Drosophila melanogaster: one gene and its partners. The protein of the gene in region 1 interacts with the protein of each later gene in a pairwise test. Each region holds a gene or a part of one and is shown in the gene's direction. Other genes may lie near its edges. The genes, in order: fws, CG5466, gukh and CG14818.

Evidence for each region.
Region 2: the proteins of fws (region 1) and CG5466 interact in a two-hybrid assay, tested with the Drosophila melanogaster proteins (one large-scale study listed by BioGRID).
Region 3: the proteins of fws (region 1) and gukh interact in a two-hybrid assay, tested with the Drosophila melanogaster proteins (one large-scale study listed by BioGRID).
Region 4: the proteins of fws (region 1) and CG14818 interact in a two-hybrid assay, tested with the Drosophila melanogaster proteins (one large-scale study listed by BioGRID).

What each region holds. Positions count from the first base shown.
Region 1 is NT_033779.5:17,474,817-17,482,716, reverse strand, and holds fws (four way stop), read left to right. Parts: upstream 1-1,687; 5' UTR 1,688-1,748; exon of another isoform or gene 1,749-1,797; 5' UTR 1,798-1,815; coding exon 1,816-2,421; intron 2,422-2,474; coding exon 2,475-3,545; intron 3,546-3,603; coding exon 3,604-4,182; 3' UTR 4,183-4,275; downstream 4,276-7,900. Other genes in the region: GCS2beta (glucosidase 2 beta subunit), read left to right, coding at 1-270; Lamtor3 (late endosomal/lysosomal adaptor, MAPK and MTOR activator 3), read right to left, coding at 931-1,261, 1,340-1,383; cass (cassowary), read left to right, coding at 5,000-5,068, 5,157-5,318, 5,491-6,024, 6,100-6,300, 6,356-6,558, 6,621-6,807, 6,875-7,129. UniProt on the Drosophila melanogaster protein: Required for normal Golgi function and necessary during spermatogenesis. Required for cleavage furrow ingression during cytokinesis in dividing spermatocytes and for the extensive polarized cell growth that accompanies spermatid elongation.
Region 2 is NT_033777.3:20,613,247-20,621,769, forward strand, and holds CG5466 (uncharacterized protein), read left to right. Parts: upstream 1-4,636; 5' UTR 4,637-4,844; coding exon 4,845-4,856; intron 4,857-4,968; coding exon 4,969-5,261; intron 5,262-5,317; coding exon 5,318-6,382; intron 6,383-6,615; coding exon 6,616-6,836; intron 6,837-6,915; coding exon 6,916-7,109; 3' UTR 7,110-8,023; downstream 8,024-8,523. Other genes in the region: CG15923 (uncharacterized protein), read right to left, coding at 74-242, 301-1,478, 1,547-2,505, 3,334-3,598.
Region 3 is NT_033777.3:18,980,910-18,988,613, forward strand, and holds the start of gukh (GUK-holder), read left to right. Parts: upstream 1-3,115; 5' UTR 3,116-3,596; coding exon 3,597-4,206; intron 4,207-7,704. Other genes in the region: dnk (deoxyribonucleoside kinase), read left to right, coding at 663-994, 1,071-1,341, 1,399-1,548; snRNP-U1-C (small ribonucleoprotein particle U1 subunit C), read right to left, coding at 2,194-2,631.
Region 4 is NC_004354.4:1,878,519-1,884,686, reverse strand, and holds CG14818 (uncharacterized protein), read left to right. Parts: upstream 1-4,912; 5' UTR 4,913-5,031; intron 5,032-5,106; exon of another isoform or gene 5,107-5,128; 5' UTR 5,129-5,196; coding exon 5,197-5,275; intron 5,276-5,336; coding exon 5,337-5,548; 3' UTR 5,549-5,668; downstream 5,669-6,168. Other genes in the region: trr (trithorax-related), read left to right, coding at 1-680, 746-1,270, 1,350-1,945, 2,002-2,131, 2,186-2,368, 2,439-2,531; Coa8 (cytochrome c oxidase assembly factor 8), read right to left, coding at 3,452-3,667, 3,741-4,004, 4,064-4,114; CG14805 (uncharacterized protein), read right to left, coding at 5,683-6,168.

The sequences.
Region 1 (7,900 bases):
AGCGGTGGGCCTGAAACCACGCTGGGTCGCTGGGACAAATGGAGTGGAGAGCCAAAGCAATATTCCCAACAAAAGTACACCAATGGTGCTGCCTGCTGGAATGGTCCAAACCGTTCGGCCATCATCAACATTAGTTGTGCCCTGGAACCCAAAATCACTGCCGTCAGCGAGCCCAATCGCTGTGAATACTACTTTGAATTCGAAACTCCCGCCGCCTGCGACAGCGAAGCTTTCCAGTCCGAATCGGAGAATCTGCACGACGAACTCTGAAATGTTCAACAATCGACGATGAGGATGAGCCGCAGAGAAATGTGAATGCTTGGCATGCGTAGACCAGAGATTTGGGGATTGTATTTTAGTTTTAAAGGAGAATATCAATTTTGTCGAGATCATTCCCAAACTGCAGCAGGAAAACCATCAAGAATTGTAGCTAATTAACTCAGTATATGCATTTAAGCAAAAAGTACATCAAGTTTCATTCTGAATAAAGTGTAAACACCTAGTATTTTTAAAACAGATAACATCACTGAATGAAAATGTTGATTTAAAGTCGGTTTCCTTGAGCTCAAACATACAAATATTTTACTTTCGTGATACTTGAGCACAGACGATTTCAAGGTATAGGGAAAAGTATATTATAATTGAGAAACTATATGAAGAAATTTAATTGAATGTACACATTTTAGGCAGCAAGAATTTTTCATTTTAAATAAAGTGTCAATAGTTTGCATATTTGATATTGTTGCCAAAACGGAGGACTCGGAACTTTGTTCATCTTTGAGATCACCCTTCGCAGGATATGAAATAAATTCCCGGAATAGTACAATGGTGAGTTGAGATTTTTAAAAACTCATTCTGTTCTCAATAAAGTATGTATGTATAAACATTTAGTAAATATTAAAAATATGCATATTACAAGGTAGACTAACTTTAGGCCTCGGTGACAGCCTGTTTAATGTCCTCCAAATAGCCATCGACCTGGTGCTCCAGTGCGAGAATGTGTCCCGTGTTACAGTTCTCCGCGCCCACAAAGGTCAGGATGAGCGGCAGCTTGTTCATCTGGACCACCTGGTAATTGGAGTACATGGAGATGATGGTCTTGTTTCTGCCCAATCCCAGTTTGCTGGCCTGATCGCAGGCGGTGGTGAATGTGGGTATGAACGAGGGCATCAGGGCGAAGTCCACGTTCTTCTCCTGGCTAACCCGCAGGAGGGGCACTCCGTCGCGATCCGTAATCTGAATAACGTACAGCCCGCTGACCCTTTTGTGTAAATCGGGGAATGGGGGAAAAATTATAAGTTAATCATATTGGGAACAGCCTTTCCTGTGGAATATTTACTTTTGCAGCAGGCCGTCTAAATACTTCTTGATGTCGTCCGACATGGAAAATTTGTTAAAGCGAAAGACTAGAGAAGGTATGGCAATAATAATACGTTTTTCTCCGCATCCAATTATTTACACAAAACAAAGTGAGCAACAGCTGCCTCAAGTTATCGATAAGTTCATGTGGCAGGGGCGTAGTCGGCGGTCGAAGTAAAATATTTTCAGCAAGCGGAAAAAGGATGCGGCTAGTTTTTAACATTATTATTTAAATATTATATTATTAAGCTATCACGCAATACTTTATATAGTTTTTTAGAAACCCCTTCAAAAAATTCAATCCCCGCTCAACTGGAAATTTATCGATTACAGCCTGTTTTTGGTTGCGTGGAAAAACAGTTTGTTTGCAATACGTAAAATTGCTGCAAGTAATGGAAATAAAAGTGTAATACCAGCTTATAATTCGTATTACCATAGATTAAAACCTTCTGCATCATGGTGACTGGAGACCCGGTAGCGACAAAGACCCCAAACGCAGCGGATTCGGATGATAATGACTTTACCGCATCCATGTCGCACCTGACCATTGGCCAGCAAATCCAGGAGCTGTCCAAGCAACTGCAGAACACGAAGGAGGAGCTGCACCAGCAGGTGCGCGACAAGCACGGAGCTCTACTGCAGCAGGCCACCCACGCTGGGCGCTTCGATGCGGCTTTAAACGCGCTCGCCGAGGATGTGCAGCGGGTCAGGGAAACTGGGCACCGGCTGAAGAACCAGGTGGACACGCAGTACCAGCAGGTGGAGAACCAAACGCAAGTGCTAGGGCGTCTGCACGATGTCAGTCACCTACTCCGCTCGGCTGGAACATTGCTGAGCCTCACGGCCAAACTAAAAGCGACCAAGGATGTCCTACGCCTGGCCGAAATCCACTTTGAGTTGGGCCAACTCATCGAAGATAAGGAGCTAAAGGACATTGATTTTATCCAGCAGGAGCGAGCTTATGTGATCAGCTCTGCTCAGAAGATAAGGAACCTCACGCAGATGCAGTTGGTCACTGGGCTCCAGGAGCGCAATGAAAACCAAGTGGTTAATGCCTTGAAGGTGGATATAACAAACATTTTTCTAGCATATACCTAAGAGTTCTTATTCCTTAGATCTTTATGAATTTCAATACGCTGGAAAAATCGCTGGATAACCTATTGGCCACCTTTATTGCCGACATGGAGCAATCTCTGAAAGAGTGCTTTGCTGGCAACGATATATCTGTGCTGAACAAGTCCCCGACGCACAATGTGAGCAAACCTGCTCCCTCGAGGGGACCAGGAAAAACTCCCCAGTTGACAACCACTCAAAACTTCCGTGCCAAGTTCTGGAAGTCTCTTCATTGGCTGCTCTATGATGAACTTTTTGAGACTTGCACGCAAATCAAGCTGCTGAAAACGGCTCTCGAGCAGATCAACCAGTTTGGCTATACATCAGAATCATCGGATCAGTGCATTCCGCAGCGTTTTTGGCAGCAGGTGCAGCAGCTCCTGCGAAAATCCTTTGACGAATGCCCCCAGCATGTTACGCAGACCCTTCAGGAGGGGCTCTCAAAGCTCCTGACCTCCGCTCGTGGCTTGGAGCAGCGTCTGCATGGCGAGTTTCAGTTTGACAACGAACTATTTGCTCCCCTGGAAGTGGGTTACGTTAGCAAGTGTGCTGCCAACTTTAAGGCATGTCTGGCGGGAGTCGATTTGCCCGGCAACGAAACGGTGGACAACTTTATTCGTGTGGCATCAACGGAGCTCAGTGCTGCTTTGATCGATTCCCGTCTCACGAATGCCATAGCAAATGTATTTGCGGCCTGTGGAAAAGAGTTGTGCACAAAACTAGAGGCTCAAATCAAGCTGGGAGCTGATTCCAAGCAGGTCGTGGATCTGCCCAATCTGCAGCAGCAGCAAAACACCCAGCTGGCGAATGTTCTGTTCTACTATAAGGATTCAGTGCGTCGCATGCTCAGTGATCTTCATGTGCACTTTGAAAAGACACCGGGAACAGCTAGGGAGATTATATCCCGATCCTTGGAACAGGCTGATTTACTGATCGGCACCATTCTACAGCAGATAATGGAGTCGATTATCACGACCATTAGCATCATTGTATTGAGTATGCACAGGGAGCCGGGATTGAATTCGGAGAGGATGTCTACCACAGGTCCGTCGATGTACATGAAGGAACTGCAGGTGGGTGGGAATTTGAATGTAATACTTGGCTAGTCATATGTCTCAATCAAACTATTAGGAGTTCGTCAACCGATCCTGGTCGCATCACATCGCCCTGTTCGATGACAAGCAGATGACGAAAAAGTGCGGACACGAGTTGGCCAAACGTTGCATTGAGCTCTTCCTGCACAATGTGTGCATTCTGCGACCTTTAAGCTCCTGCGGAAGGCAGCGTTTGAAGCAAGACTGTCAACACATGGAACAGGCGTTGAAACCTCTTTGCCCAAATCTCGCCGAGCTGGGAAAGCCGTCGCGTCTGCTAAGAGCCATGTCCTTGCTGATCGTCCAAACGGCCGAGGAGCTGGTCAAGCAGACAATCGGCGAGGACTCTCTAGTGCCCAGTTACATAGTGCTGTTGCTGCTCTTCGGACACGCTGGAGCAGATCTGCAGTCGCCACACACGACGGCCAACTGGTCCAATGAGCGGCTGATCGAATGGCTGGATGGGCACACGGCTGAACGGGAGAAACTAGAGCTGATCTCGGGGGCACTGCAACGGTATCGGGACAATGCCAGGCGAAAGAACATTCAGCAGTACGACGAAGTTTACCCCATGATGGTAGATTATTTTGAACAGGCCTTAAAGGCACTTCCATAAATGTCTAATGTATTATGTATCTAGAACTATGTATGTATGTATGTAAGAGCACGAATATGTTTGGAATAAACATATGCATGGCATCCTTCTATTAAATCATTGTACTCAGTTCCTTCCGCTAAATGAAGCTAATGAGTTTCTTAGAATAACTTATTGAGTGGAATAATGATAGCAGTGAGAACTTGAGGCTAGAGGCTTAAAATTGAAATTATGCGAGGTTGTGTCATATTGTCATTTGATTAAATTAATTTTGGTAGGCAGTTTTGGCTGGCGCTATATGAATAAATGGAATTCCATGGTTAATATAAATGATACTGGTACTTACTCAAAAGACACATTTTGGAAGATGTTTCGTATTAAAAGAATAATTCTTACTTATTCGTCATTAACATTAAGAGGATTTCAAATAAAAATATATCACTACATCGTTTGGAAATAGTTCCTCCGGAATATCGGTATTTATATATTTTTCACATTTATATCGATTTGAAATAGGCATTCAAAACAACGGTAGTAATAACTTTTTTAAACTATCGATGCGTATTCAGAATAACGGTACTAATAACTTGTTCTAACTATCGATGTGTATTCTGAATAACGGTAGTACAAATTTTTCCCAACGGTATATCGATATCCATCTGGGTTTTTACTGTCTCGAGATCTGGTCACTCCCCCGTGCTCACCATTTTGTTTGCAACGTGAAAAACTCTCATTTGAGAAACGCTGTCATCCAATTTAACTGCAACGAAAACTGTGTAAAGTAAACTATAGACGCTTGAAACCTCTGCAAATATAGTGCGTACCACTGGCCAAGAAGATGGACAACATAGAGCGACTGTACAAATGCTACGAGATTCTGTCCGAGGCGGGCGATAAAATATCCGAAGTATGCCGCCATTGCAAAACGTGCCGAAAAAAAAACGGTATATGATACATGGTCTAATATATATATGCATGTTTTTTTCGAATTGCAGCATGTGGATGAATATAAAGAGATACTCAAGGCCGTGAAGGGCACGTCGAAGGAGAAGCGCCTGGCATCGCAGTTCATTGGTAACTTCTTCAAACACTTTCCGGATTTGGCCGACACAGCCATAGACGCGCAGTTTGATTTGTGCGAGGATGACGACACACAGGTGAGTGGGTGCCATAAAGTTACCCAGCTGATACAATAGGCTCGGAATTTTTGGCCTGTATGCAGCTGATGTGTGTAAATAAATCGAAATCCCCTGTAATCCTGCTCCGTATCTTGACAGCTTAAGATATCCCACATATTCCACAAACTAAATATCTTTATCATCCTTGTAGATCCGCCGCCAGGCCATCAAAGATCTGCCGAAACTGTGCCAGGGAAACGCAGATGCTACCATCCGAGTGGGTGATACTCTGGCCCAGCTGTTAATCCTGGACGATCCCACAGAACTCCAGCAGGTCAACAACTCACTGCTGGCCATCATAAAATTGGACACCAAGAGCTCCATCGCCGGATTGTTTCAGCAAATCTCCACTGGGGATGAAACGACAAGGGAGCGCTGCCTCAAGTTCATTGCCACCAAGCTGCTGACCATGGGTCCCACAGTTATTACCAAGGAAATCGAGGACTATATCGTGGAGGAGATCAAAAAGGCTTTGCAGGATGTCACTGCCGATGAGTTTCATCTGTGCATGACAATTCTGGGAGCCACCAAACTGGGAAGCACCATCACGGGACACGCCGAGCTCGTCAAGCTGGCCACGGAGCAGGCGGAGCTAAATAACACAGACGCGGACATCATAGCCGTCGACGACGAGGTGGTGGAGCGATTCATTCAGTGCGCCTCTGCTGCGGCTCCTTACTTTTCGGTAAGTTTCCAATAGCTGCACATGAAATCGAACCCCTGGCGAGCATTTAAATCGAATCTCTTGCCATTCCTATAGAAAACCATCAAATCCACGGCCTTCGTGGCTCACGTTTGCGATAAACTGTTGCCCATCAAGACCTGGAACATGATCGCCACTGCAGTTTCGCAAGATCAAATCCAACTTAGATTACTAAAGGTATTCGCCGAGATGATAACCAACACAGACAAGCTGGACAATGCCAGCGAACGGATTAATGCAGTCTACAATGTATTGCTGGTAAGTGTACTTGGTACATTCGAAATTGAGCGAATAACATGTAAACAATTTCCAGGAATACATGCCTTTGCCAAAGCTGAGTGACGAGGATCTGGGAGATACACCGCCCTCGTTTCAGTTTTCGCACGCCGAGTGCTTACTGTACGCATTGCACACTCTTGGAAAAAATCATCCAAATAGTTTAAGTTTCGTCGAGGATGCAGAGAAACTAAAAGACTTTCGAGCTAGATTGCAATATCTTGCAAGGGGAACACAGGGGTAGGTTCTTGCAAAAATTTTATTCTGTTTACATAATTTATTTTATAATACTTGCCTTGTAGTTATATTAAGAAACTGGAGGAGTCGCTCAAAGGCAAGACGGGAGAGGAGCTCAAAACGGAGGAGAACCAACTGAAGCAGACGGCACTGAAGACGACATCAAACATCAACATTCTGATCCGGGATCTATTTCATTCACCGCCCATATTCAAACATGACATTGTGCTCTCCTGGATTGTGCCAAAAAATGTAAGCACACAAGTTATCTCTTACAGCTGATATATTTATAAACAATGCAATATTCTTGTGCGTTCAGAACAAGCTGGGCAAGCGTCATGCACCCATCACTTTTGGGGAGAAAGCCGCTGCTAACGGCAAGGATAAGGATCAGGAGCCAGAGAAGAAATCGCGGCCATCCAACGATCAGAAGTTTTACTCGCCGCCATCTGGAAAATACTCCAACAAGGTCAACCAGAGCTACGGAAACAACAATCGCACGAGACAACGTGGCGGCGGCGGCGGTGGCGGCAGCGGTGGAGGCTACAGAAACAGGCGATTCAACAAGTACTAAGTAAAGAATCAATCGTGAGGCAGAAGAGCAGCAAAGAACACTTCACTTGAATGGTTTGTCCCTAGTCCGTAGACATACAAAAAAAAAAAAAACAAAAACAAGATATTGGATGCGAGCAGAATAAACACAACTGTTGCGATGCTGCAGCCAAGCAATTTTAAAGGAAACAAAACGAAAGTGGTGAGTATTCCGTGCAATTTTCATTTAACTTTCTCCCCTTTGTCTCCTTTCAGCGCAACATATTTTCATGGAAATTAAATGCAACATTTTTACATCCATTTTACTCATACACTCACGCATTGCTTTTATTATTTTCGTTATAACATTTGTTTTCGCTAAAGTACTTGTGCAATTTTCCAAAACACGCCACGCCTTCTTTTCATACATTTCCCAAAAGAAAGGCGCTGGCATTGTTTGAAATTTATATCACTCCTGTTTTTACCTTCAATTCTGTCAAACGCATAAATATAAGATTATACCAATAACCAAGTGAACGAATATCAATATAAAACCTACTTTCAAGTTGACCGCTTTGAAGATAATGATTTTCAAGCGACAAACTGTTTGCGACAGATCGGCATTTGTTTTAAACCCATTAGTTTTTATTTGACATGTAATATCAAATTAACAATTGTACCATTTAGAGATGCAAATCAGCAAAAAAAAAACCCCTAGCATACATTTCTTGAATTCAATAAAAGCAACATTAAATTACATGCACTGTGTGATATACTTGTTTAATTTTGTTAACGACGGGCAACTAGAAAAATA
Region 2 (8,523 bases), on another chromosome or scaffold:
CGGCTTGATCGACTAGGCCATATTAACTGGTTACATACTTCAATGGATCAATTAAGGTAGACTTTAAGCTTACATGGTCGATAAAGGCGCAGAAGAAGCGATTGACGCTGGCGTACGCAATGGAGGTACGTTCCATCTGTCCATCGATGCTCGGAACGATGTCCTTTTGGTAGAGCATGGTCTGCGAAAGGGTGCCGGTCAGACTGCGCTGAAAGGGAAGCAGGAGTCGCTCCAGGTAGATGCTATAGTAAAAACACTATGATAATCAATATCCTCATTGGAGTAAAGTCAAAATCTTACTGAAGGTTTCTGGGAGGCAGGATGACGTACGCCTGCTTGTCCGAGTCCATTAGCAATCCTCGTCGCCCACACATGGTCTGGGTTCTCTGCAGCTGCAAAATCATCGAGGACATATCCGTATCGGCAAAGCCGTGCGGAGATCGTCCGTGGATGTAGTAACCAAATCCTGGCTCCGTCAGTGAGAACAGAGAGATGTTGGCCAGACTGCACAGGTCGATGAACTTCTGGAGGGGATTGGCTATAAACAGTTGGTGGCCTATTATCTGAAGTAGATATGTGAGCAGATAAGCTGCCGCTATAAGGCAGCAACGTAGAAAAATGTCACCCTTGGTAAACCTCTCCAGAAACTGATAGCCAGCGATGACCACAAATACCTGACCCAAGGTGGAGTACTTCTGGGTGACACTTAGGCGAATCCAGGCATTGGCCGTGAAGAGAACTCGCCAGGCGGAGACGCTGCTCTCGGCCACAAAGGTGCGCACGCTAGAGCAGAGAGATGAGCTGTCCAGATTCAGGCGTTGTCCTTCGCAGCTGCTCCGCGGTCTTTCCCAGTCGATGAGAAACAGTTCCAGCTGGCTGGAGCGCCACAGGTGGATGCCCAGAAAGAGGAACTGCAGCACAAAGGCGGTATTGAGTAGGATTTTCAGTAGGCGAGAATTGGAGGCTTGCAGCAGTAGGAGCAGCAGAGTAGTCGCCAGCAGAGCATATGCCACATTTCCGGCCAGCTGCAGGAGAAATTCCATAAGACTGCTCATCTGACAGAGGTCCGCCTTCCGCCTTCTTCTCAAATTCTGGAGACGGAAGACAGCAGCTGCAAAGGCCAGCAAAAGGAGCAGCGGCAGCGCCACCTCCAAGATCAACCAATCCCAACCACGTTTTACTTGGTCGTAGCTAATCCTCAGGGTGAATGGGTACAGTTGGGAGAGCGATATATTTCCCGATCCCATCTCTATGTGTCGGTATCGCAGGCGAATGAGCGGCAGACCCACTCTATCCGGCTGATCCTTGTCCAGCGTATAACGAATTTCGATGTCCTCCACATATCGTAAGGAGTAATATTGCTGCAGCTTGTGGGCATCCTCGTAGCGCGGCATGGTCTGGTGAAGATGACTATCCCGCGGCGAGGCGGAGATCAGCTGGAAACGTTTCACCAACTGCCACTCCTCCTGCTGGGGTCGCTGGACAGATGAAGAAATTACGGAACTGAGATTAAGTTCTATCTAATTGAGTACATCACACTCCTCACCTGGTTTTCCGGCGTCAGGGTCTCGATGAGTACAGGTAACTGGTGAAGCAAATACTGCCAGTTACTACTGAAGTTTAGAAACACGGTGAGAAACTCGGCGTTGTGCCGTTGGTTGGCCAGGTCAATGAGACGCTCTAGGGTCAGCTGACAAGATACCTCCGACTCCCTCTTGGGTAGAGCCACTCGGAGGCTAGGCGCCTTCTGTTGGCACATGTTCAGCATCTCCGGATGAAAGGCACCCCACCGTTTGAGTCCGCCATCTAGACCAAATGTGGTGCTAAAAAGGCGCAGCTCCTTGCGATCCGGCAGCTGAAGCGTCTTCGAAAGCAGCTCCTTGGTAGCCCGACCCTTCTTGTAGAACAGGAACGGCTGCAGGGATCGCACCTGTTCGCCGGAGTGGGCATACTTCATGACCACATCAGAGACCTGGGTAAGCAGGAAGGCGCTGCAGGGCGAGTGCTTTTCCAGGGAGAAATGGGAAAGCACGCACAGATTGGCCAGTTGCTGGCAGGCGGTATCGTTGCGCAGTGTCAGGCAAAAGAAGGCCACAAACTTGAGCTCACCAAAGCGGCTGGGTGCACTTGAATCCGGCGTGGTTGTCGCCTGCCAGAAGGCGTTGTAGTGCACATACGGTCGGAGCAGGGTGCTAGCCAAGCAGAAGTCCTGATACCGGAAATTGTGCGTCATATCGCAGGAATGGCAATCTCCCGCTCTGCTCATCGGATTTGTATGGGTCAGTATGATGCCGGAAATGAGTGGATGCACTGGCAACTGACTGGCGAAGGCTGCCGTGGAGTTCAGATACCGATAGCTGCACTGATTGGTAGGTCGAGGCTGGGGTAGCCACACCGAAGTGCAATTGTCGCTCCTGTCCGGAGTGCAAATCTCATCGCAGGTGGGCCACGTCTTGCCGCGCTCATAGATGGACAGATGACCAGCCGGGCACTTGCAGGTGAATTCTGGGTGGGCAATAAACAAGAAGCAGGTGAATTCTGGGTGGGCAATAAACAAGAAGCTTTTATTTCAGTAACATAGTAAAACTTTCTTCTAACCATACGAATGCATATCCTATATTCATAGATCTATCATATGATCAAGGATTGAAAATGTATATAAACTAATCTATTCATTTTGTCACAATTATCAATCATTTTAAGATATTATATATATAAAAACAGTATACAACTTTCAATTCAATTCAAAGCGAAACTAAAAAGTTTATCTTGTTTTTTTTTTGTATAAATACCCCTAAAACGAGTTTTAGTTTTCTTACACAACAATGTCCTTATTATCTGCACTATTTATACATATTTTAAATAACTGATTACAAATACTTTACTTATTAAATCAAACAACAGGAAATCGTTGAGGAAATCTATTAAGAATACCAATAGTTTAATTTATATTAGTTCGAAATATTAAAAATATATTAATATATTAATATTAAAAATTGTTTGATTATAGTATTTCCTCTTCGAGATCGTCAAAATAAAATTTGTGTGAAGTTTGCAAATTGTGCTAAGTGACAAATACTGATGTGAATAAATCTTAAGTATTCGAGGTCTGTGACCTATAAAAAATATATTAATCGCAAAAAGCCTTGTCGCTTTCAATGACAAAACCTTAAACCAATAAAATGTTTAAATAACCGAATATTAAATTTGGTATATACAATATTACAGCTCTTTTGCAGCTGAAAATGAATACTTTCTCTTGAGTAGCATGCAGGTCCTTGCCCCTTCACATGGCACCCCTTTTGGTTCTGTTTGATCAATACTACCACTCACTGTCGGGTTGCAGTTTTCCTTGAACCCCATCTCCGCCGGCGACCTCATTGCAGGGCACACAGTCGAATAGGTTGAGGTTGTAGAACTCGTTCTTGAGGCACTGCGTCGGATTCTGGAAGCGAAAAGTGTGCGGCGTTGGCAGCTGCGAGGGATTTGTGGCCGCGGTGGTCAGCGAGCAGATGGGCACTGGAATTTGTAAGGCGATCCAGAAAAGAGCACAACACCAGTTGATAGCCCGGGAGAAGCACCTCATCCTCATCCTCATCCTGTTCTGATTTTAGGAGTCGCTGCTCGCTCTTCAATATTCGAAAGGGTACTGAATTCCCTGGAGCGATTGCAGCTGCAATTTGGAAGTCGCCCAGGAAGGCAAGTAAACAAGTGGACTCGTGGAGGGAGTGGTGTTGCTATAGCTACCCAACCCCCCGATTTTCGCCGGGCACGCATGCAAAATGGCCATTATCCGGAGGGTTGGCTCAGGTGCTTACTCCCTCTCGGCCGAATGTCCTTTGACCAGGAGGCCACCTTAAGTGTAATGAGTCCTCGAGACTTTTTACCTGCTGGGTTTCCTTTCATATTCCAGCACTTGCGTGCTCAAAATTGTGATTGCCATCATTATTAGTTACTTTCTTAGGATTTTGCATACAATTTGTAGGTATGTAAATTAGCAAGGACTATTTTAGAAATTAAATCCTACGTAAAGGAATTATTTGTTGGGTTACTTAATTAATTATTCTCTCTAAAGAGACCATTTGTATAGTCAATTCTTTTGCACTTCTACGTTTTTAAATGGGTTTGAATGGTTTTTGCAAAAATTAAATTAGTAAGATAATAATAAATAAAAAATAAAAATAAATAATTCAGATTGTATAATAAGCTAAATCGCTTTTACAATTATTTTCCTATATTATTTATTTTTTCAATTCACTTCTAAAATATAACTTTTTTAATGTGGTAGCTATAGGATATAATATAATATAAGCTCATACTAATCATTATATTTGTATTTAAAAAACAAATAGATTTCAAGCACACTTTTTTATTAGCTTAAAAAAGAATATTTGGCAGTTAGATGCATTAGAATTTGAGCTCTGCGAAAGCTAAGACTATTGGCTGTACTAATCAAATCTTAAACAGTTGCAAAAAAATATCTATATGCCTTAAGTAAATTTTTAAGCGCATTAACAATGTTTATGTTTATGTTTATACGCCAACAAATGTTAAATTATTTGCTTATGTATATGAAAGTCGGGCATAAAGCTGTCTGTCGTTTTTAGAGCTTTTGGCCGCGACGTGCGACGGTCACACTGATGGCCTCCCCCACTTCTTCCTTGCAAGGACAACACAATTAGGCGGCGGACACATACAGTTTTTTTCCCCCGATCCGTGGCCGCCAGTTAGCCCAGTCTCGTCCCCCGACCGACGAGTGATTCCCGACAGCAACCGTTGGTCATTCGAATCCAGGATGCTGCACTGGCGCCGCACAGATTAGATATTCGCAGTCCCAGACGAAAATGAACAATTTGGTAAGTGGGCGGTGACGGCGGTGGCAGTGGAGGTAGCAGGGCTCGATTTCAAGCTCAGATCTTGGGTGTCTCTGTTTCCGATTGTGTGAACTAATCACTGCGATCCTTGCAGGAGCACTCCAAGCATTTCTATCCTGATAACTACAAATTGGATCTGTCTGAGACCATGAAGGCGGCTCTGTCCAAAGGACCCGGTGGTGGTGCCGGTGGCGGGGGCGTGGCAGGCGGAGATATGCTGCCGCAGCCAAATGCTGGAATGCCAGGAGTGGGCTATGTTACGGAAAAGCTGTACATGCTGCTGCAGCTGTATCTGCAGAACAAAGGCTGGAATCCCAGTGCTGAGCTGCTGCAGTGCTTCAGCGATCTCAAGGACAATGCCATGCTGCCCAGCGCCGCCTATCTGCAGTAAGTAGGGGTTGTGGGTTTTTTCAGATCCGTTCTCATAACTTCCTCGTTTGCAGAGTCCTGGCCAACCGCTTAACCCTGGACTCCCAGGGACGGCTAATACTGCGCGACAATGGAAAGATTGTCTTGCCCTTTGAGCATTTTGCCAATGCGGTCATGCTAAAGCACATGTCAGGTCCGCACGGCCTGCACCTTAGTGTCGATGCCACGGTGAGGGCAGTCATTGAGTCGTACACCATCGGTCGGGATCAGTTCGGCATGGAGAAAGAGTTCATCATCGAGGTGGTGCAGTCCTGCCCAAGTCCCGCATGTCGCTACTATAAAAACCACATGGGAATTTCGCCCATGCCGTTCATGGAGCAGCAGTATCCGGGCGTAAACACTCCCGAGTTCCTGCAGCGCTTGGCGCATCTGCCGCCTGGGGGAGCAGCCGGATCTGGGCCAGGAGGCTCCGCAGCCGGATCCACCTCCAGCGTGGCAAGCAGCTCGAGTTCGGCGAACGTGGAAATCGATCTGTCCAAGTCGACGGGCGCGAAGGTGCCCCAGGTGCCGGTGCCGCCGCAGTTGCAGCACCTGACCAAGCAGCAGCAGAGCACTCTCCAGACGCAGCTCTCCCAGATCAGTGCTGCCGCCGCTCATCATCAACAACAACAACAGCAGCAACAACAGCAACAGCAGCAGCAGCAGCAACAACAACAGCAAGCAGCAGCCAAGCACCAGCAGCAATTGACTGCTGCCCTCATCCAACAGCAAAACCGTGTCCTCGCCCAGCAAAATTTAGAGAAGCTTAGCAACCACCTCAGTCCGCTGGAAAAGCAGCGAGTTTTCGCCCAGCTGGATCCAAAGCACTTTGATCCCATGGCCGTTGCGGCTGCAGCCGCCAATCTTCAAATCCAAGGCCTGATGCAATCGCAGGCAGTGGCTGCCGCCGTCGCCGCCAATCAGCAGACTCCGGCGGCTACGACTACATCTGCTGCAGGAGGAGCTGCAGCCGGCCCGCAGGCCCATCACGGACACCATCCCTTGCCACCGCCATCGCAGTCGCCACACTCATCCTCTTCGTCTTCCTCTCATTCCTCGTTGGACCAGATTACCCACAAGAACGTCGCCGACTCCTTGCGGTGGGTGAGATTTATTAGATATTATTATTTTAAATTCTTTTTCTTGGCAAAACATGTGTACAAAGACTTATTTTTTTATTAAAACAAACAAAAAATATTGTATGTATTTGATAAGTAACGAATTAGGTTGTTTACAATATTATTTATTATTTGCTATATGTAAAGTAAATTGATCACTTTTAAATGTTTGCTTTAGGCCCTTAATTGAATTCATTTAACTTTTCCGATTTCAGTTCCAATCTGGACTCAATAGAATCGAATAAGGATCTGCTGGCGCTGCACAACGGAGCCTGGGCCACCGGCGATGCCAATCGAATGGATCACTTGGCCGTGGGTCAGGACAAGATAGTGCGCATCTTTGCGGAGCTGATGCGAAACATGTCGCGGATGAAAACCTACATACGTCCCTCGATGTGCAAGCCCTACGGCAAGCAGAGTGAGAGTCTGCAGAAAAGTGAGTACCTTGGCTGGGAACCGGTTTCGCTATCTGCGATGCTGACCGCCTCCTGCTTGCTCGTTCTCTTCCCCGACAGCCCTCATGGACACCATTCAGATCGTGCAGACGCTGCGCAACTGCCTCCCAGCTCCTCACATACCCGTGTCGTCCTGGAAAAGTGAGAGCGAGGGCAACGTGGGATCAGGAGTGAGCGCGGGAGTAGGAGTGGGTGTCCCTGCAGGACTTAACCTGGGCGCCGCCTTGGGTCTGCCATCGGGCAACATGCACTAGATGCGGGCTGGAGCTCATCGGGTAGCATGCAATAGCTCCGGATTTATCCACTCACATTCTTCCAGCAGTTAGAGAACACTTAGTACTTACACGCAGAGAAAAGCATAGATGATAGGCATAGCAATTTACCCTCGTAGGCGTGGCTCCAGTTTTCCTTTTAGCAATTACGTGCCATGTTCAACACAAGACTTGATTTCACATTTTCCACATTTGACTGACCTTTAGGCATACATATGTATCGAATCCCGCGGCTTGAATTTGATTCCCATCACTCTTTGTTTTCCAGTTTGGCATGCAAAATTATGAAGCAAATCGGCAAATTAGTTAAACAATTGGCAAAACGTCTGTGATATTTGAATTATGTTGGCAAACGGAAGACAAAACTAAATTTAATTTATTACGTTGTGTGCCCTCTGTTGTAATGTCTTACTTTTTACTTTGTGCAATATCTACTAAGCATATATTCTTAGCCGTTCTCGTGCAATCGACGACTTTTCGCCCATATCAAAAGCAACTCGAATGTAGCCTATACTTAAACTAACCTACTGATAATCGGACATGATAGACGCGTAAGACTTACATTATATTTTGCATTAGGACTTCAGAGTATCTGAATAACAATTGGCGGATGGCCGCGGTGGCGAAAGCGACATTACGAGTTGTGTTTAAATTTAAGAAGCTGAAGAAGGGTTGTACTCCGCATGCAAGGGCTATTTAAATATATATTTTAACCCGCCCGAGCTCACCATTACCAGAAATTCGATAAACGAGCAAACAGTATTATACGCAATAAAAAGACACCTGCAACCATAAGTATTTACCTAGCTGATGTGTGGGAATTTATCGTAACATACCATATTATCGCTTAATGTTTAACTTCTGGACTTAATAATAAATAAATATTTTATTCTACGACAAAGAAGAACTTTTCAATGTAACATTATTAACTGCTTTAAGTCATATCCTTAAACTTTCGCCTTGAAAATCTTTAAAACCCTACAGGTATTCCAAATTAATAATCTCAGGTGCTAGAAATTTAATTAATATATTTTGGAAACAGCATAAATTAGTGAAAATACAACATTGTTTTAATCAAACATTTTTAAAAGCATGTTTTCGGTTGCAAAGTTTTCCAATTTCAATCCTGAAATTAAAGTTGAGTTGAACAATTGCTATAAAAAGCGACCATTTATTACGTTTTATAAACTGTCCCGATTGTGATTTTAGTTGTTTATTTTATTTCATATTTAAAACCGTTACTATTTTAAAAATCGTTCGCTAAAGATTGTGCTTTTAAGCATTGATAACTATCGCTAATTGCCAGAATTCGTAATCTTATTTGACTTGAATTGTAAAAATATAGGATTTAGGATTTTTACCAAATAGATGTAGTTCAAAGAACACAATTCTTTTT
Region 3 (7,704 bases), on another chromosome or scaffold:
TGTACAATAATATTGATAAAAAATGCGTCGTCGTAGGGATGGCGAAAAACAGATACTATGCACAGAACAGCTGACCGTTATCGTTATCGCCGACAGCTGATTCTCAGTATAGGCAAAAAGAAAATTCATTTCACAACGTTAAATAAAATAAATAAGAGGCCATAAAAGTTGTGAGCAATAAATGTTTAATTTTATTGCTATCAGTGGTATTTGTATTTAATAAATTTGTAAAAACAGCAATGTCCAGCAAGCACATGTGGCAGAAAAACATTATATCATTAATAGGTAATTCAACCAGCATTGGCTTAAACTTTAAGTTTTTGTAAAGATGTATGTAAAAACATTACCGGCAATAGAATAGACACACACACACACACACACACAGTTACCGATCAGCCGGTTGACAAAAACAAGCATAACGATAGGTAACACCGATTAAAAAAAAAAGAAACAAATGGCGATGTTCCCGCTCTTTTTGTTTTTCGGCGGTAAACGATCTGACCAGGCGGGTTGAATCAGTCACCATATTCCCGCCGCCGTGTACAGTACTCCATCGAATCCGGAACAATCAACTTCAACCGCGATCCGTTGCTGCTGTGCTGTACCTAAAACAGTTAGTAAAACTCCCAATCTCACGTGCAGATCGCCGATTATCCGGACTGATGGCGGAGGCAGCATCCTGTGCCCGAAAGGGGACCAAGTACGCCGAGGGCACCCAGCCCTTCACCGTCCTCATCGAGGGCAACATCGGCAGCGGGAAGACCACGTATTTGAACCACTTCGAGAAGTACAAGAACGACATTTGCCTGCTGACCGAGCCCGTCGAGAAGTGGCGCAACGTCAACGGGGTAAATCTGCTGGAGCTGATGTACAAAGATCCCAAGAAGTGGGCCATGCCCTTTCAGAGTTATGTCACGCTGACCATGCTGCAGTCGCACACCGCCCCAACCAACAAGAAGCTAAAAATAATGGAGCGCTCCATTTTTAGCGCTCGGTGAGTGCATTATTCCCGTCGTCCGGTTTGACCAGAAACGCTAAACGAAACTTATCCATTACCCATCGCGCCGCAGCTATTGCTTCGTGGAGAACATGCGACGAAACGGCTCGCTGGAGCAGGGCATGTACAATACGCTGGAGGAGTGGTACAAGTTCATCGAAGAGTCCATTCACGTGCAGGCGGACCTCATCATATATCTGCGCACCTCGCCGGAGGTGGCGTACGAACGCATCCGGCAGCGGGCTCGTTCTGAGGAGAGCTGCGTGCCGCTTAAGTACCTTCAGGAGCTGCATGAGTTGCACGAGGACTGGTTGATACACCAGAGACGACCGCAGTCGTGCAAGGTAGTTTCTACACAAGCTCACATCTACCGAAGCCGCTAAATATGCATTTTTCCTCAGGTCCTAGTCCTCGATGCCGATCTGAACCTGGAAAACATTGGCACCGAGTACCAGCGCTCGGAGAGCAGCATATTCGACGCCATCTCAAGTAACCAACAGCCCTCGCCGGTTCTGGTGTCGCCCAGCAAGCGCCAGAGGGTCGCCAGATAACCATTATCCCATTAGTACCTAATTGTGTGTAGTACAGACGTTTAAAATAATATTATAAGAGGCCTAGACGAGCCGATTCGCGGGACAAAGGCAGAAACTTACACTTCGAGCCAATGATTAACACATTCGTATATTAACAATTATAATCCACATTATATTCTCTTCACAGCAACTAGTATGTAAGCTCAAAATATTGTAATAAAAACTGTGAATGTTTATGTTAAAGGCAAGGCACCTACTATTTTTGTGTTAGCATTTCAGTTCACTTGCATTTTAACTATATTGTGTTGGACAATGAAATCATTAAATGCCTTCTCTAGCATTGATTTTTGTTATCTTTTTCTGAAGCGGGGTTTTTTAAAGTCATAATAATGTGTGCACCGTAAAAGCGGCGTGATCTTATGCCTGCTGAACTCTAATGTGACTGCATGCGCTTCTCATTACTGACCTAAATATATATACTTTATTTCTCTATTGACTTCCACCCACAAAGACAACCATTTGTTGAGTCAACTTGCTTTATATAAATGTATATAATTAATTGTTTTCGCTATCGGGCTTACTTAAATGCTACAGCTTAATTAGGACATCGCAAGGAGAGCACTCCATCTGTGCTGTGAACGTTGATGCCGTTCCTGAGGGCGTTCACTTGGGTCCGTTCATGATTCCTGGACGGACGCCGGGTATAGTGCCCAGTGGAGGCGGTGGTCCCATCATGGCCATGGGATTCATAATCGGTGGCGGACGCATGCCCATCATGGGGTTCATCAGTGGAGGCATATAGGGCATTCCAGGCATTCCCGGACGCGGAGGAGCCCCCATGTTGGGCGGCGGAATGGACACGCCCGCCGGCTTGGGAGGCGCTCCTCCTGGCCCGCCGGCAAACGGATTGTTCGTGATCTTGCCCGCTTTGAAGGCGGCGGTAGTGGCGTCAATCAAATGCTGCGCCTGTTCCTCCATCCACTTTTGGTAGTAGAACTTTACATTGTCGCGATGCTTGCGGCCGGTGCAGTGGGTTTTCCGCACCGAGGGCGAGTCGTGGGTCAAGTAGGTGTCGCAGTAGTCGCAATAGTACTTTGGCATTGCACTAATTTATTTATCTTAGCTAAGGAAATTCGGTTCACTGTAGTTTTATTTATTATTTTTCGCAGTCGTATGACCGTATTTCGACAAGGGTGATAAGCTACTGAGACATGCTGCTGTCTGGCAACTCTGCCGCTGTGTATATCGATATGTTTAACAGCAACATTCAGCTTGAAACTCATGGAGATATTTGATTTGGGTTTGTCAGCTTGCATTTTATATTTATTTATATATTCAAACAGATACAACATAAAAATAAATATAAATCATGCATTATATATTAATGTTTTGTGTTGAATGCCCACTGTGCACTGTTAAGTGTTACAGCAGGTAACACACTGTTAGTGTGTGCAGTGTGTCCTGACTAAGCTAAGCAGAGTTTTGAACCCTAGTCGGTGACATACTCAAGCAGCTTGGACGAACGGTCACACGGGCAGATGATTTATCTGCGACTTCACTGCCCTTGCCATGTATTGGGCACACTGGCAGTTATTTTGAAACCGGCGAAATACGAAGACGTCAGCGCGGACGGTCGGTTTTTGTAATTTTGCCGGCTAACACACCTTTCGAACGACGCGTAACGGTGGCCGGGCCATTAAAATCGCCACAACCACGGGCAATTCGAGTGCGGCGCGCTAATTATGCAAGGCTGAGAACTAGCCACAAAAATTTGGGGGGCAGCAATAAACCAGTTGATTTAAACTAGTTTGTGAGTGCGTGTGAAAAGGCCAAGGAATTTGGCCGAAAGTAGTAGACAATAGCTAGGAGGCTGCGACTGCGGAGGATTCAAGTCCAGAAGTTGTCCGACCAGTTTTCGGTGCCCGTGTGCTCGTGTGTGTGTGTGTGTGTCGGGATTACTTGGATTACCTTTTATTTTATGTTGGCCGGTGCCTTCGAAGCGGAGCGAATGAGTTGGAGCAGCTAGTGGCCGCCAGAGAGATCAAGAGTGCGAGAGCCAGCGAGAGATGCCCTTCGTCCAGCGCGTGGTGCAGCCCGTCAATGTGGCCCAGGCCACGGCGGCCAGTTTGGGCCACGCATCCGGACGATTCCACTGCACGCCGGGCAAGTGCCGGAACAACAACTGCATTAACAAGCAGTCGCCGGATGTAGAGGTCCCCAATGGCCACGGATCACCCACATCCCTTACCAGGGTTCTGGTTCACCAGGCGCCGGAGGATCAACCCGTACCGCCCGCTCCGGCGCCCATGAAGAAGCTAAAGCACCACGTCGAGTTCCTGTCCACCTCGCCCACTCGCCATCAGTCGCAATCCCTGCCCAATTCGCGGCATCCCAGCCAGCAGAGGCCGGCGCTTGGAAGGATCGCCAGTGCACCGCAGTCGCCCACTGCCGGCTCCTCCAAGGTGGTCTCCGGCCACGAGTTCGACTCGATCAGCAACATAACGCTGAGCAACGCCCTGCGGCAGCTGGCCAGCTTGGTCCTCATAGCCAGCGATATCTTCGACGACCTGCAGCGGGATCTGCAGGCGGTGGGCGAGCGGGCGGGTCGTGTGCAGCGGAAGATTGCCGCCGTGGAGCGACGCGTCTGTGCCTACGATCCGAAAACGGTCACAGTTCGTAAGTAGACCCATTCATCTTATGCCCTATTCAATTCTAGCTAGGATCTACATAAGTGGGAGCTCCCCCAATGTGTGTGTGTGTATTCCTCACACGATTCGCGCTCAAAGTCAAGTGCGTTATCACGGACAGCTTATCGCCCGTCATCTGCCGCTTTGTATGCGTGGAGTAGCTTCTGTGTGGGTGGCTGTGTTTGGCGGAGAACGTGCTCCAATCTTATCTGCTTTCGCAACACGCGGGGAATTCAATTTGCAAAGGCGCAAAAGGGAGGAGAAGCAAAAATAAGTCAGTGGGGGAATTGGGGAGCAGGTCTCGCTATACCCTATAGCAAAGTTTTTTCACTGGGGCTAATTAGAAACAGACGCATATTAACATATTAGATTAATATTTTAATATTTTCTAAAACAATTGATTTTATTGTTTCCTTTTCTGTTTTTGAAAAAGTTAAAATTAATAAACATATTTATTGTGTTCTAAGAATTTAAATGATATTTACTAGCGCTGGACTTACTATTTAATTTGATTGCAAGCAATACTAAAATATAATCATAATATATACACATGTATATTAAACTCCTCCTGAAATCGCCATACCCTGGGAATACCCTTTTTCTGAGCATCTCGGTGAAAAGAAACCGAGGGAATACCGAACCAGTGGAAATTAACACCTTGTTTACTTTGTCGCCTCCGCTGTTTGGGGCTCCACTCCGATCGCCCGATTGCCCCTTTGCCCATCCTGCCATTATTCCATCATGCAGAGTGTGAGTGGGTGGGTGGGACTGGGTGGGGCTGGGTGGCCTGTGTTCATGCAATTAGCTTCTTGCCCGCGTCCAGCAGAGGCTTCTACAATTACCAACGAGCTACGAGCACTTAGATAAGCGGTCTAAAGTCGTTTGGCTCATTGTTTTCGCGACCTTGTGTTAAATACCTTCCCAACACGAATGGCCATTTATGTGGCAAGTGCTGCAGTTGTTGTTGCTGTTGTTCTAGTTGCAACAGCAACAGGTTATCCGCAGTGGCTGTCAAACTTCGTGATATGCCCAAATCCGAATATATTTTCTCGTCTATCCGCATTTTAGCACTTTGCTTCGCTCGGCACTTTATCGCCTTTACATTTTTGTTTTCTGCTTGCAATCCGAATTTTGTTTTTCGCTTGAAAAACGTTCAATAACTTTATGAAATCTCAACGGCAGACTGGCGACGACGCTGACTGCAGCTTTTTCACTCCGACTTGATATTGTTTTGTTGCCATTATTATTGTGCACTTGGCTGCAGACTTGGGCTGTGCGCGGAGCTCGACGTGGCGTACGATCCCATTGTCAGCTGTCATTTTGCAAGAGCTCACTTTGTTTACGCCAGCCCCTCTGCCGCTGGCTTTTGGCTCCTTGTCAGCTGCCCGAGGAGAGCAAAAACCCAGAAAAAATAACACGAAAACAGCAGCTGCTGCTCTTTGGGCTACTGCATGCGCAATCGAAAACGTCGCACTAATTGCTCAGGTATGAAGCCCAGGAAAAACAAGAGCACCACACTCGGTCTTCTACATATGCGCGTACAGCTGAGGGCACAAAAATAGCAATAATAATAGTTTTAGGCTCATTAAGTACTGCGAATCTCCACAAAAATTGGAAACATAATCCACAATGTATGTGGATTTTTATATGACCTTAAAAATTTTGTATTATGATAATGGCACTAATATAGTTATCAATATTCTTAAAGTATAGTTTAATAATAAATACATATGTATATATTCTGTAGTTAGGCGTCTCTTTCCCTTTGTCTATTGTTGTTAAATACAATTGCTCTTTGAGTATTTCGCAAACAACATTTTAAAAATAAATTATCAAGGATAGACACTTTTCTTCTTAGACTTGTGTTCAATTATTTTATTTTACATGTCATGGTTATCTAAAAATATGCGCCCAGGTGATAGATAGCCTTCAAAACGGGCGAGCACATAAAATTGCTTCTAATACTTAAATGGTATCATTAAATTTATCTAAAAATGTGACACAAGCAAGTAAAACTTTTCGATTGTTATAATGTTTCAAAAAACCCAACTCAACTGGCATAATAAAAACCATATGCGTAGTTATTATTGAGGTAACAAAGAAACCCTGGCACAGCTATTAATTTCACCTTAACTGTGGGTTGTTAATTTTGAAATTTGCAATTGCCTCGGAAGGAGTGGACACTCCACGCCACTCCACTTCGATTCCCCTCACCTGTTCCTTTGTCCCGCAGCCATTAATGTGCTCATATTAGAAATGCCATTACATCGCGCCATTTGCGGCGACTGCCGAGCTAACCACCACTCGGAAAAGTGCCTCTTTTTTTGGGCTAGTGCAGCCAAGCGTGCGAAGCATTTGCCGAGGGTAATTCCCATTCGTTCTCCGGCTGTTACTGCTGCGGGCCTACGGGTAGTAACCATGGCCAACTACCGCCAATGAACTACTAACTATATCTGCCAATCAATCGGCCATATTGCCGGGCCACAACATGTTGCAGGGGAAACGAAATAAAATATAGTTGGAAGTACGTGAGCGGCATGGACAACCGGCGAATTGTTCGGGCCCAGCAGGCGCTTTTCGTAAAAAGGAGGCCCTTTGAAGAGCGCAAATGCCGCTGTCCACTTACGCACTTGCCCACTTCGGACACTCCAGTCGGCTCAGTGGTCACTGGAAACTTGATCCCGGACGGAGGACACATGTGCGTGGGCATCCCGGACGAAACTGAGATACTAAGATACTACATAGATGCCCAGTCACACAGGCGCACACATGGCCAGATTGTCTTCAGCAGGAAACGAGCATTTGTAATTACAGCCACAGTGGGGCATAAATAACGCGAGGCCAAAAAGATACGGCCCGCATCCGAGAGATACACGAAAAGCCGAAACCGAAAAACCTGTTCCCACCTGCAGCATTGCGTGTGTATATGGGTGTGAGTGTGCCTCAAAAACTAAACAAACAAGCCAACGAAAAATACAGCCAGCTATGAAAATGCCTCGACTACACAGTCCGAAAAAAAAATGAAAGAATGAAAGATACAAGCTGCTGGTATCCAGAGATACAGTATCTATAGGTCTATATGTCTTTGTCTGCCCGCGAGAATGTACTTCGTTTTTGTCTTAGCCAGCCACGCATTATTTTTCAAGTGCGCTGATGAGCATTTGATTGTTGCAGTCAAACTTTGCCCGGGGCTCCCCTTTTTTTCTCCCCATTTTGGGGCCAATTCAATCCACTCAACTGCGGTTGGTTTTGCCATCGCTGCGTCTGAAATTCTGACTGGGCTCCTCTTGTTTATTTTCCCAACATTTTTCTCTCACTTAAAGCGCAAAACCGAAATGTAAACCAACCACACAACCAGTCCAGCCAGCCAGATACAGATACAGATACAGATAAATAGACGCGTCTGTCATCGTGTGCATGTAAACAGCGGCGGGATGGAAGGAGTCTCCGTTCCAGACTCGATAACAGTCTGAATCCCAATTCCTGT
Region 4 (6,168 bases), on another chromosome or scaffold:
TGAGTCACGGTCATCTGAGGAAGATCCTCAACGGGCGTCGTAAGCTCTGCCGCAGCTGCGGAAATGTGGTTCACGCCACTGGGCTGCGAGTTCCTCGGCACAGTGTTCCTGCCCTAGAAGAGCAACTCCCCCGGTTGGCTCAACTGATGGACATGCTGCCAAGAAAATCGGTTCCCCCTCCTTTTGTGTACTTCTGCGATCGCGCCTGCTTTGCGAGATTCAAGTGGAATGGAAAGGATGGCCAGGCGGAGGCGGCTAGTCTGCTGCTTCAGCCAGCCGGCGGTTCTGCTGTAAAATCATCCAACGGAGACTCGCCTGGCAGCTTCTGCGCCAGCTCAACTGCCCCAGCGGAAATGGTGGTCAAACAAGAACCGGAGGACGAGGATGAGAAAACGCCGAGCGTACCGGGCAACCCCACAAATATCCCCGCACAGCGCAAATGCATTGTGAAGTGTTTTAGTGCTGATTGCTTCACCACGGACTCGGCGCCATCCGGACTGGAGCTCGACGGAACTGCTGGTGCCGGAACTGGGGCTGGACCGGTCAATAATACTGTGTGGGAAACAGAGACCAGTGGGCTGCAGTTGGAGGACACGCGGCAGTGTGTCTTCTGCAATCAGCGTGGTGACGGCCAGGCAGATGGACCCTCGCGACTGCTTAACTTCGATGTGGATAAATGGGTAAGTAGAAAGTGTAACCCTAATGATTGATTGCATCACAGCTTAATGTACACTTTCACATACAGGTTCACCTTAACTGCGCCCTGTGGTCCAACGGCGTGTACGAGACGGTGTCTGGGGCGCTGATGAACTTCCAGACAGCTCTGCAAGCGGGACTGAGCCAGGCGTGTAGCGCTTGTCACCAACCAGGCGCCACCATCAAGTGTTTCAAGTCGCGCTGCAACAGCCTGTACCACCTGCCATGCGCCATTCGCGAGGAGTGCGTCTTTTACAAGAACAAGTCCGTGCACTGCAGCGTTCATGGTCATGCTCATGCCGGCATCACGATGGGTGCAGGAGCAGGCGCCACGACTGGCGCCGGATTAGGAGGCTCTGTGGCAGATAATGAACTGAGCTCCCTGGTTGTCCACCGGAGAGTTTTTGTCGATCGGGATGAAAACCGTCAGGTGGCCACCGTCATGCACTATTCAGAGCTAAGCAACCTGCTCCGTGTGGGCAACATGACGTTCCTGAACGTGGGTCAGTTACTGCCGCATCAGCTGGAGGCCTTCCACACACCCCACTACATCTACCCCATTGGCTACAAGGTGGTAAGTACAAGTACCAGCCGGTCGGCCGCCATGTTTATGAACAGCAATCTTAAATCCCGTTCCTCTTCCTCCCCCATAGAGTCGCTACTACTGGTGCGTGCGACGACCCAATCGTAGGTGTCGATACATTTGCAGTATCGCAGAGGCCGGATGCAAGCCCGAGTTTCGCATCCAGGTGCAGGACGCCGGCGACAAGGAGCCGGAGCGCGAGTTTCGGGGCAGTTCGCCCTCGGCGGTCTGGCAGCAGATTCTGCAGCCAATCACGCGACTGCGTAAGGTGCACAAGTGGTTGCAGCTCTTTCCCCAGCACATCAGTGGTGAGGACCTATTTGGCCTAACGGAACCGGCCATTGTGCGAATCCTGGAAAGCCTCCCGGGCATTGAGACGCTCACTGACTACCGCTTCAAGTACGGTCGCAACCCGCTTCTTGAGTTCCCGCTAGCCATCAATCCGTCTGGAGCGGCGCGTACGGAACCCAAGCAACGACAGCTGCTCGTCTGGAGGAAGCCGCATACGCAACGCACGGCCGGCAGCTGCAGCACGCAGCGGATGGCCAACTCGGCTGCGATTGCCGGAGAAGTGGCCTGCCCGTACAGCAAGCAGTTCGTGCATTCGAAGAGCTCCCAGTACAAAAAGATGAAGCAGGAGTGGCGCAACAACGTCTACTTGGCGAGGTGAGACATTAGGTCCTAGTCAATAACCACTGATTACTTAAGCTCTCATTTTCTAGATCTAAGATCCAGGGTCTTGGCTTGTATGCAGCTCGGGACATTGAAAAGCACACCATGATAATCGAGTACATTGGCGAGGTTATCCGCACCGAGGTCTCCGAGATACGCGAGAAGCAGTACGAGTCCAAGGTGGGTTTCGCGACCATGTTTTCTTGTAACTTTGACTAATCTCTGATTCCCCAGAACCGTGGCATCTACATGTTCCGGCTGGATGAAGACCGCGTGGTGGACGCCACTCTAAGCGGCGGGTTGGCGCGCTACATCAACCATTCGTGCAATCCCAACTGTGTTACCGAGATAGTGGAGGTCGATCGCGACGTGCGGATCATAATATTCGCCAAGCGGAAGATCTATCGCGGCGAGGAGGTGGGTCCCGCAAATAGAAGTGTTTCGCCTGTACCTTAACTCACAATATCTCTTAAATTCTGTGCTTTAGCTCTCGTACGACTACAAGTTCGACATTGAGGACGAGTCGCACAAGATACCGTGCGCCTGTGGAGCGCCCAACTGTCGCAAGTGGATGAACTAGAGTCGGGAGGAGCCTCTAGCGGAGGACCAAAGGAAGCGCAAGAAGCGGCGGCGAGCACGTCGCTCCCAGTGAACAGGAACAGGAGTAGAGACAGGAACAGGAACAGGACTTGTATCTGATCAAGTAGCTAGATTCGCTAAGCATTATAGTTCGTGTACATTTATATATATATATATATATATATATATATATTTATATATATATAGTTTATATGCTATATGCAGATATGCTCGTGGAGAGCATATGACCTTGTAAGTTTTGTATATGTGCCCACTGTAGCCAATTCGTATCCTTTATATCGCTCTTAAGTGCAAAAGTGGAGAGTGTCTTCATAGTTTAAATTGAATAATTGCTATCGTTTCTACATAGAAAGAATATAAATGTTACTGCTAGGACACGACCACCCCTGTAATGTATTTCGGACCCCCTCTCCTCACACAGTCGCTGGAGCACCTAATTTTATTTGTTTTAGCACCATCTCCACATTCATCACTACCACCATTGCAATTATCGCGAGGAAACTGACCGCCCCGATGGCCAACCCAAAACTTGACTTTATGCGTGTGTGCCTTCCCCTCTGTTTACCATTATTATTATTATCATAATTGTAGCGGTTATCTTTCAATATTCGGCCACTTTACATGGGGAGCGATCCTTCTTTCGCTGCGTGTATCGTGCGCAACCTTCTTTGAATATATACACTGATAAGGATATGAACACCTACTTCTATTTTATTTTATTTAAATAGTTTGCGATTACTTTTAAGTACATTAACTAACTCCGAACAACGTGTATTTTTCATCCCCTTAAATAGTAGCTAAGTAAATTTTATGCCACCATTTTACGCACGTGATCTTTTATTCCAACTTATTGCAAACGGCAAACTGGAAATTACGAAATGGGGACGACAGATATTGCACCTAAGATCTTCGCTTGGCCAGCGCCAGAAGCCTCTGGAGCTGGACTGCGGCAGCCAGGGTGAGTATGTCGAAGTTCTTCAGGTACCAGGAGATGTTGTACATGATGTGGATGCGCCAGTTCTTGTCGAGGAACGCTTTGTAGAAGTGGCTCATCTGGTCCGCGGACACTTCGCTGGTTCCGCTTTCCTTGTGCAGGCGGATGAAGTCTTCCTTTTCCTGTAAACGAACCAATTCGAAAGAGACGACATTAGCGGACTAGAAAGAGATGGCACAGTGGTCGTGGTTGTACCTCGTAGAAGCGCTTATTGTGTTTTGTCCAGAAGTCCGTGTTCCATGCCTCCACCTCGATCCGCTTAAGACGCAGGCTTCTTGCCAGCCGCGTCTCCTCATCGCCGTAGTGCCGTACGTACGGACGTAGGTTTGATTGCGCGTCTGGCGGTCCTATATAGTCGCACTTCACCGTCTTGGGATCGGGCTTGTGTGGCAAACCGACGACGGGTTTTTCTTGTGGCGGTGGACATCCCGGCTGCACTGCGGCATAGCACCGCGGTAGCTGTGTAAACAAGAAATTGAAAATCCGAATCCTATAAGGCAACACACTCATGGACTCACGCTGAACTGGAAAAGCGATATCCGGGGCTGGCACCTAAAACATTTGTTCATTTTTCGGTTATGTTATGTGAGGTGCAGTGTGGCCGACTGTCACGCTAGGCAACAGATTAAATATTGATGCCAGCAAATATTACGGGCATTCGCATGCGATTCTCGACTGAATATCTGGAGTTCAGAAACCAGTAGCCAGTAGCCAGCCAGCTGATACATGTCGACAAAATCAAGAAACAGTTTCTTTTTCCAAAATGGTCGCATATTGCATGTTTCCAGTCGCAATTGAACCAATAGGAATGCAGCCTTGTGAACAGTTAGACCAAAGCTTAAGCAAGAGTATCAGAAGAGATGTGAACCCCTCTTGTTTCCCTGTTCGTGACACGCAATCGGCACGTCATGCTCGAGCAAATACCAAAATCCCTAGTAATTTGCTTGCGTTGTGAAAATAAAACGATATACATGCACATCTCTAAAAACAACGTAGAAACAGAGGCTAGTACACTTTCTGTTTATTATGCTCGCCTCATGATTGCAACAAGAAATCTACTGTCGCAATTCGATGCTTCAAAATTATTTCGGTCAAAATGGGCAAGATTATCGACTGTAGACACCAGGCGAACAGAAAACGTTGGAGTACGACCGCTGATCGCTCTGAGAAATTAAACAGCCGTTCATTGTCAGAAGGGGTCAACTCTGGCCAATCAACATTAAGCACTATGGGAAAGAACCGTTCGATTAAGTCCAGTCAACGCCTAGAGATACGTAAACCATTTGTTTCATTGTTCGTGTCACGAATTAGGCACGACATATGCGAATAAGCCAAAATTTCCCATGCTATTCCATTGGTACGTAAAAATAAAACGAGGCACGGGCACATCCCTAAAAACTAAGTGGAAACTTAGCTTTGGACTTTTGCAGTGGATTATGTTCGCCTAGTGTTTTGAGCTAAAAAGTGTTTTCGTAATTACAAAAACGTACGTATGTACTGAATTCCCCTATTAAGTTTTTTTTTTTATATCGTATTTGAACTGAGACCTATCGTTCTCTTCTAACCACCTCTATCGTTTATAGCTATCCCGTGACAATAAATCCAACTGGAAAAAACAAACGGAAAAACTCCGGGGAAAATTCCAGGGAAAATGTCACCCAAAAACAATCATGATCCCTCGTCGTCCGGCGACTCTGGCAACACCAATGTCCAGGAGGCGGACCTCCAAGGTGAGTTTTGACAGCGCCCCGTTTCTGCTCGGGATTGGCTCTAATGGAATGACCCCTACAGAGATGGAGGACGTGAACAACAGTCTGGACGCTCTCAGCTGTGCCCTGGACGCCGTGGAGCAGCGCACAGACGACATTATGTCCCAACTACGGGAGCTGCTGAACTCCAACCGAGAGATCCGTCGCCTGATTGCCGAGGAAAATGACAACGCTCCCGAATCGGGAGATGACAACATGGACGGGCAGGCGGGCAGCGAAGCGGCACCCAAGTAGATCCCTCTACGAGAAGTTATTGTTTTGTTCATCCAAATCGTTTTTAGGCACAATCAGTGCTGTTTTTTTTCTATTATCATGTATTTTTGTCCTAAGTCCTAAGTAAACGTAATTGAAAGCAAGCTTAAGGTTCACTATGTCTTCCGCGCTTTCTTGCGCTTTGTCTTCTCTGTGATTTCAGCCTGGCCATTGGTATCGCTAGTAATATACTTGAAAGCTATCTGGAACAAGCGCATTGACTGCGCTTTGAGGCGCGCATTCTCGGCCTGCAGCTCTTGCACTCTTTCGTCGCTTGTCTGTGCTGAGTCTGGCTGATATTCTGCATACGATTTTTCGGACTCAGCTTCCTTGGAGGCGGTTTCCATTGGCTCGGATTCAGGTTCTTCTTCTTCGACCTCGGAATCCTCGACATCTGTAGCTTTGGTTTCCGCCTCAATTCCTTCGTCGTCCTCGTTCTTTCCCGAACTCATGGACGCTATAAGTTTGAGTATTATCTCCTCATCCGTACCCGGATGACTTTGGGTGTAGTCCAGCTCCGGTGTCTTGCGTCCCCCGGAGTAGTCCGGATCGAAGAGCTCGATACAGTCATTCTCATCCCACGGACTAATCATTCGCTTTAG